Daphnia pulex: one gene and its partner. The protein of the gene in region 1 purifies or fractionates together with the protein of each later gene. This does not show direct contact. Links are inferred from orthologs where the notes say so. Each region holds a gene or a part of one and is shown on either strand. Other genes may lie near its edges.

What was found.
Region 2: the proteins of coatomer subunit beta'-like (region 1) and coatomer subunit zeta-1-like fractionate together in Homo sapiens (co-fractionation; 6 studies listed by BioGRID and IntAct, with this or other methods). This does not show direct contact. The link is inferred for Daphnia pulex from reciprocal best matches to the Homo sapiens genes COPB2 and COPZ1.

What each region holds. Positions count from the first base shown.
Region 1 is NC_060017.1:7,292,215-7,296,663, forward strand, and holds the start of coatomer subunit beta'-like, read left to right. Parts: upstream 1-1,423; 5' UTR 1,424-1,588; coding exon 1,589-1,591; intron 1,592-1,662; coding exon 1,663-1,821; intron 1,822-1,883; coding exon 1,884-1,961; intron 1,962-2,029; coding exon 2,030-2,144; intron 2,145-2,205; coding exon 2,206-2,354; intron 2,355-2,423; coding exon 2,424-2,680; intron 2,681-2,742; coding exon 2,743-3,075; intron 3,076-3,138; coding exon 3,139-3,338; intron 3,339-3,405; coding exon 3,406-3,647; intron 3,648-3,708; coding exon 3,709-3,851; intron 3,852-3,927; coding exon 3,928-4,370; intron 4,371-4,429; coding exon 4,430-4,449. Other genes in the region: uncharacterized protein LOC124197376, read right to left, coding at 1-36, 99-318, 397-471. UniProt on the Homo sapiens protein: The coatomer is a cytosolic protein complex that binds to dilysine motifs and reversibly associates with Golgi non-clathrin-coated vesicles, which further mediate biosynthetic protein transport from the ER, via the Golgi up to the trans Golgi network.
Region 2 is NC_060024.1:1,294,508-1,298,023, reverse strand, and holds coatomer subunit zeta-1-like, read left to right. Parts: upstream 1-1,336; 5' UTR 1,337-1,526; coding exon 1,527-1,718; intron 1,719-1,807; coding exon 1,808-2,053; intron 2,054-2,118; coding exon 2,119-2,252; intron 2,253-2,327; coding exon 2,328-2,418; intron 2,419-2,617; coding exon 2,618-2,665; 3' UTR 2,666-2,774; downstream 2,775-3,516. UniProt on the Homo sapiens protein: The coatomer is a cytosolic protein complex that binds to dilysine motifs and reversibly associates with Golgi non-clathrin-coated vesicles, which further mediate biosynthetic protein transport from the ER, via the Golgi up to the trans Golgi network.

The DNA of each region.
Region 1 (4,449 bases):
TTACTGAAGGCTCATCAGATTTTAAGTTTTCTTGTTCTGTGAATAATAATATGGCACAATATTAAATTTTGTTTTGTACTCTTAAAATGTTATCTTACCTTGGTTTTCATTCAATGAAGTAGCCACTTCATTAGAATATGTTTCTGATGACTCACTAGACTGTTCTTCAAAGTGCTGTATCACTTTTTTAACCGAGCCTTTCGAAGCCCCAGCAGACTCTTTATTCTCTTCAGCTGCTAGTTCCAGCACAGTATTAATCCTTGTCGAACTATTATCCAAATAAGATCGAAAATCCACGTCTTTTTTGTCTTCTTGGTACTAGAGTAGTATGTATAAATCGCAAGAGTTAGAATCAGGTCTGCATAGCTCTTTGAAGAGAATTTGACATTAAAATACCTTAGTGAAGAAGGAACTCCAAAAATTATCTCTTTCTTGTAAAATTCCTTCCCAGCATTTTTTCAATCTGTCCATCGTGTTGGATTGTCATTTCATAGTTTCGAAATTATTGATCCATTATTTCAACAAGTAGGCCACTCTCTTAACACCAACAAGAACATAGCATCCGACGCTTTCGAGTTTTGAATTCACCTTTGCAACTTAATTTCGTCTGCTATAACTTTTGCAACAGTGTTTATCTGACAATTAGGTGATGATTGAAAATTTGAAACATATTATTCCAGAATATATGGATGAAGGAAAAATGTGGTGTATTATTCACAATTGTATCATCAAAATTAAAAATAAGAATCAAAAGACCCCAAGTAATTCCCTGAGGATTGCTTGTTTCAGGCAATCAAGAAAAATGAATTGCAAAAATTTTCAGCAGTTAATTCATTATCTTGATCCAATCTTTAAAACTGGATTTTTTTTGTATGACATGTAATCATCATATTTGAAGAATGAAATTTCAGTTTCATGTCTTACATCACTCTCCTTGAGTGTCCTTTCCGCTTTAAGGATGAGACCTTCATCATTCTCGTGGTTAATGACAGGATCATTTGTTTTAGCTCCATGTGCATGGTGCTCAATCTGTAGAAAACCATAGAAAAAACAACAAATACATAAAAATAGCAGTAAGATGTTATTCAAATAACCTTCAAAGTGTCATATTCGTATTTTCGAAAAGGTGGTGGCAGTCCCGGAGCAACACCCAACTCTTGAATTATTCTAGTTTTCAACTCTTCAGTTGTAAGGGAAAGTGGTACATTCTTTAAAACCACATTGCGAATGTTTCGATATTCAAACGACCGGATGACTCGAATAATGATCGTGGCTGTCTCCATTGATAAATTGTGCGGGGCAGTTTGTTTTGAACTGATGTGATGTTGCCACTGTCGAAATAGTTTAACAAATTTTGAATTATTACAGGGTACGCTTAAAATGTATAGAATAAATAGCTCATAATAGTTTTGAAAATTACACTCCCGACGAGGTCACACAATATTAGTAAAAGCTGATAGAAAAGAAGCAATTTAGTATTTTGGCTAATGATTCTATCTGGCAATGTTTATTTGTGCTCCACTCCTCCCCCAGTGATGACAGATCAACCGGCCACGTAGTAGAACTATTCAACAATCCTCACAACAAAATGGTTTAACATTAATACTACTTGTTTAAATCATAACAATTATTGAGCTAATTTCATGTTATAATTTTTTATAGCCGCTGAAACTAGATATCAAGAGAAGGCTTACCGCCCGTTCGGATCGCGTGAAAAGTGTCGACTTGCATCCAACAGAGCCATGGATGTTGGCCTCCTTGTATAATGGAAATGTGCATATTTGGAACCATGAATCACAACAAATCATCAAATCTTTTGAGGTAAAATGAGTACTTCATTGAATTCTTCCTTAATGACTTGACCATTACTTGCCCTTTTGTAGGTTTGTGACCTGCCTGTTCGTGCTGTCAAGTTTGTCCCAAGGAAAAACTGGGTTGTTAGTGGTTCTGATGATATGCAGGTATAGTTTTCTTGATGTCTTATCCATTTCAGATTAGATATAGTTTAATCCTCTTTAAATTGTTCCAGGTCAGAGTGTTCAACTACAACACACTTGATCGTGTGACAGCATTTGAAGCTCATTCAGACTATGTTCGTTGCATTGCTGTGCACCCCACTCAACCCTTTCTATTAACTAGCAGTGGTATGTAAATAATCTGTTTTTCTAACAGATTCAGTGTTCATACAGTCTTTCTTCATTTTAGATGATATGTCAATTAAGTTGTGGAATTGGGAAAAGAACTGGGCATGCCAACAAGTCTTTGAGGGTCACACCCATTATGTTATGCAGATTGTCATCAATCCAAAAGATAACAATACATTTGCTACTGCATCTCTTGATAGAACAGTCAAGGTATGTTTTTACGAAAATATTTTGCCAGAAATTTAACTTAAAATCAATTTATTACGGTCCCTCATTCAGGTCTGGCAGTTGGGCTCGAACACACCGAATTTCACTCTTGAAGGCCACGAGAAAGGAGTAAATTGCGTCGACTATTACCACGCCGGCGACAAACCTTACTTAATTTCAGGTGCAGATGATCGGCTTGTTAAAATTTGGGATTACCAGAATAAAACCTGCGTCCAAACTTTGGAAGGGCATGCACAGAATATTTCTTCTGTTGCCTTCCACCCCGAACTTCCAATTCTGCTTACTGGATCTGAAGATGGAACAGTCAGGTAAATTTATTATTCTCTTTATTTATTTTTTAGTCAAGTATACTATTTTCTCTAAATCGTAGAGTATGGCATTCAAATACCTACCGGTTGGAGACTACTCTCAATTATGGGCTGGAGCGTGTCTGGACCATTTGTTGTTTGCCTGGGTCTAATAACATCGCTTTGGGCTACGATGAAGGATCTATCATGATTAAATTGGGCCGAGAGGAACCTGCAATGTCCATGGATCAAAGCGGTAAAATTATCTGGGCCAAACATTCAGAGATCCAGCAGGCCAATCTCAAAGCGCTGCCGGACTCGGAGATCAAGGATGGAGAACGTCTTCCTCTTGCCATCAAGGATATGGGTGCATGCGAGATTTACCCTCAAACTGTCGCTCACAATCCAAACGGAAGGTATGTTTGCTAACTGCTCATGGCATAGAAACCAGTAAATAATAAAATTCCGTTTCATAATAGATTCGTCGTTGTTTGTGGTGACGGCGAGTACATCATCTATACAGCTATGGCTCTGCGAAACAAAGCTTTCGGTTCAGCTTTGGAGTTTGTGTGGGCAGTGGACTCATCCGAGTATGCTGTTCGTGAAAGTGCCACGTCGGTCAAAGTTTTTAAGAACTTCAAGGAAAAGAAACAATTCAAACCAGAGCTGGGAGCCGAAGGTATATTGTGCATAGTAATTGAAAACAGAATGAAATATTGATTCTAATTAAAATTTTACATTCACAGGAATCTTTGGTGGAGCAATGCTTGGGGTCCGGTCTACCAACAGCTTAGCTTTTTACGAATGGGACAATCTGACACTGATTCGTCGGATTGAGATCCAGCCACGTGGTGTGTATTGGTCGGAAAATGGTGAATTAGTTTGCATTTCTACCGAAGACAGCTATTTTGTTTTGCGTTATGATGCTGATGCCGTGGCCAAAAGCCTTGAAACCAAAGAAGGCTTGACCGACGATGCCGGAATTGAGGTGATTTTATTTAAAGACAAAGTGTTAGTACATTTTTAAAAAATATTTTCTGAATGTTTAGACGGCGTTCGAAATGTTATCTGAAGTGCAAGAAAGTGTTAAGACGGGACTTTGGGTGGGCGATTGCTTTATCTACACCAACAGTGCCAACCGATTAAATTATTACGTCGGTGGGGAAATTGTCACAGTGGCCCATCTCGACAGGTATGGCTTGAAAGTTCACCATTCTTGCAATAATCAAACCGATACTATTAAACCCATGTGTAACTTTTGTTTCCAGAGTGATGTACTTGTTGGGCTACATTCCCAAGGACAACAGTCTTTACTTGGGCGACAAGGAGCTAAATGTAGTTTCCTACGGCCTGCAACTCTCGGTGCTTGAATATCAAACCGCAGTTATGCGACGAGACTTCGAAACAGCTGACCGAGTGCTCCCGTCGGTTCCCAAAGAGCAACGCACTCGAGTGGCTCATTTTCTTGAGAAGCAGGGATTCAAAGAACAGGCATTGGCAGTCTCCGCTGATCCTGAGCATCGCTTCGAACTGTCACTTCAGCTTGGTCAATTGCAACTGGCCTACCAACTAGCCTGCGAGGCTCAGAGTGAGCACAAGTGGAAACAACTTGCTGATCTGGCCACAACCAAATGTCAGTTTGAGTTGGCTCAAGAGTGTCTTCACAAGGCACAGGATTTCGGAGGACTCCTACTTTTGGCTACAGCATCCGGTATGTCATTTTACATTGTTTCGTCCTTTGTTCAGATAGTTAATATGTTGAATGTTCAGGTAATGCCGAAATGGTGCAG
Region 2 (3,516 bases), on another chromosome or scaffold:
AAACACGGAACTCTGGAGGAAGCGACATGAGTATCTTTGCCATTATTTGATTATCATCAATAGCTATGTTGAGGCTCTTCAGACGGAATGCTATCTGTTCCAACTCAGTCAGGAAGCTTGATACACTTTGGCTTGGTCGAAATGTGCATCCATAGAACTTTGTCCACAATAGAGGTGCATTGTCTGCGGCATCTTCTTCATACTCAGTCTCCAATTTCATCCACATCTCTTGGGCTGTGCTACAAGACATCAGGATCCTTGATTGGTCTTCTTTGATGGCGCCAAATATGTTCTGCATTGCCGTGGTATTTCTCTTGTTCCAGTTGGTTATATCAGCTGCATTTTCAATCACCTGGTCAGCATTGCGTCTCTGATTGTGGTAACAAAACGAGAAGATGGTTAGGTTTGTGATATCCATGGCAGCCTCACATTATCTCAATGTGGAATCTCCCTCACATCATCTCGATGTGGAATACCTCTCACATTATCTCAATGTGGAATCTCCCTCACATCATCTCGATGTGGAATACCTCTCACATTATCTCAATGTGGAATCTCCCTCACATCATCTCGATGTGGAAAAACACTCAGCTGTCTCCTAGATGCTTGCAACTCTAGCACACACTTGTCCACCATCATATGATGGAATTTAGCCAGAGTGACCAAACAGATTGAGAAAGAAACACAAAAAAAGAGAAATGTCCAGCAAACACAAACACACAAAAAACAAAATCAAGTGGCAGAGATTAAGCACTCACGCCGGGATCTAAGTTTGTCAATTTAATAGTTGGTACCACGCCACAGATAGGCATCTCATATCGCGTTGTTGTCAGGCACGGATCACACACATAAAGAAAACAATAAATCATCAATAAACTTACTTCAGCAGGTTGCCGTTGAGTCCCGTTCACGACTTCCCAAAGCTCAACACTTTGTAACGCCAGCTTCATTCCAAATTTCCAAGACGCGTAGTTTTTCCCATTCAGACACCATACAACATGGCGGCGGCCATCTTTCTCCATCACTCCAGAAAAGAATTTCTAATTTCTTGGGAACAGTTAGCCGGGGACACACACAAAAAAAATAATTGTTCAGACAGAGTAGCTGTTAGCTGTGCGTACAGCTGGGCCCATAACCTGTTGATATAGAAATTAACACGTGAACCTGTTTGCTGCAAAGAACGCTTTGTATTGCTACTCGCCTAGCCACAATCGTCAACAGCACTGAGTCCCCCTCTCTTATTCCTTTGTCTGGGTAGGTCCTTCTCCCCCTCTCTTCTTTCCTGGCTATCCTGCGTTGCCGCACTGTCCAGTTTGTTTATCTTTTATACTCAACAAGCAGTTCCTAGATGGCGCTAACGACTGGCCCTTTTGCTTTTTCCCGTATCTTTTAAAACAAAAATAGATTTATCTCGTTAATGGTTTGTGATCAGTATAGGAAATTTATAAAATTTATAAGTTAATTTTTTTAATGGTTAATATAATTTTCTTACCGACATAAGAATCGTACTCTAGTTGAAGTACTCCATGGCGATACTACGCGAAAGAAACTGCCAACGTAGCATACAGGACTACCGGTTGTCAAGTAAGAACAACTCATCAACATCTCGAACGGAACATTTTCATTCACCCGTCTGTACAACGGTTCATCTTATTTCTCTTAGCTCTTGTGTTGTGGTGTATTGCATATTGTATAAAGAAATGGATAACCATGTCCTGGTAATATAGCTACTTCTAGTACTACATTTTCTTTAATCAGCTGTGTCAGACCAACAACAAAATGATACATTTTTATAAAATTTCTTTAGGAACCTTCTCTGTATGTAATTAAAGGAATTGCAATCCTTGACAATGATGGTAAACGTATTCTTGCAAAGTACTATGACCCAAACACATTACCCACTGCAAAAGAACAGAAGGTTTTTGAAAAAAACCTATTCAACAAAACACACCGAGCTAACACGGAAATCATTATGCTAGAAAACATGACTTGTGTCTACAAAAGCAATGTGGATCTTTATTTTTATGTCATGGGAAGTAGCCATGAAAATGAGGTAAAAGATGCTCACAAGTTGTTCACAAAATATTAGTAAATTGGAATTTTTTTCCCCTTATTTAGTTGATCTTGGTTAGTGTTTTAAACTGCTTGTATGATTCCATCAGCCAAATACTTAGAAAGAATGTGGAAAAGCGTTCTCTAATGGAAAATCTTGATGTGGTTATGCTTGCTTTGGATGAAATATGTGATTCTGGGTATGGTTTCCATTCAAACATGTAATCATGACAAGTTTATCAAGATACTATTACCAGTTTACTATTGTGTTGCAGGATTATTCTGGAATCAGATCCCACTGCTATATCATACAGAGTAGCTCTTCGGAATGATGACATTCCAATTGGGGAGCAGACAGTGGCCCAGGTATGTTTGATAACTTAACTACTTAATCAGATATTTAAATAAGGTTTTTTTCAATTTAATTAAATTTAAAATTGAAATTAGTTTGAAATTTTCATTTTCCAGCAGCTACTTCTAAACTAAACAATATACATTTTAAAAATTACTATAATTAAGGGAGAAGATCAATAAATTCTTTAATTATTTCCGTCTGATTTTTTAGGTGCTTCAATCGGCAAAGGAGCAGCTAAAATGGTCTCTTCTGAAATAAGGATCTAAACTATTTCAACCACAATAAATTCCGGTCGTTGAATCATCCTTATCATTATTTTTCTCCTTTTCCAAGTTGTTCTATAAAAAAAATACAAATCTGTTCTGTTGATGCCATCTTTATCAAAATAGCAGATAAATAATTAAAATCAATCCACCGTATTAGAAATTAAATTTTTTGTAACTTGTAACACGCATTATATAACCTGATGGTGTGCTTGGTATTTTACAGCGATCTTTAAAAGATTGTTTTCATTCATCAAAGAATAGTTTGCCTTTTTCTGACATTTACTTCGGGTTTACAAACGAATGAAAGCACAAAAGAAATTTGTTTCTATCACAACAGAGATGTGAATTTCCAATATTTTTCAGGTTGCACTGTAATTTAGGTGAAATGTTCTTGGTTTTAATTCGGATAGAACGTTATTCTCTTACAGTACAGCTTAAGTACAGCATTACACCAACTAAAGTTTGCCAGTTCATTTCGAAGTTATTGATAACGTCAATCTTTCGTCGATTAAAAGGTAAAAAAAAAAAAAAAAAAAAAAACGTTTCACTCGTCGTGTCTTTATAACGATATTGAATTCCAGGCTTGGACAGAGCGCATCAGTTTTTCGCTCCGTTGATCTATCAGCGATAAGCGGTGATTTAATCGACCCAATTGAAAAGGATCGGTAACGAATCGTTGTGTTTTTTTTTTTTTGTTTTTTTTTGGTCGAGTTCCAGAATTTTCTACCAACAACTTCGAAGTTCGACAATCCAAAATGATCCTTTAGCCTTGCGTTTCCCTTATCTTCGTTGAGTTTATAACATACAGCGCGATCATATTCAAATAGCCACAAAGAAAGGAAA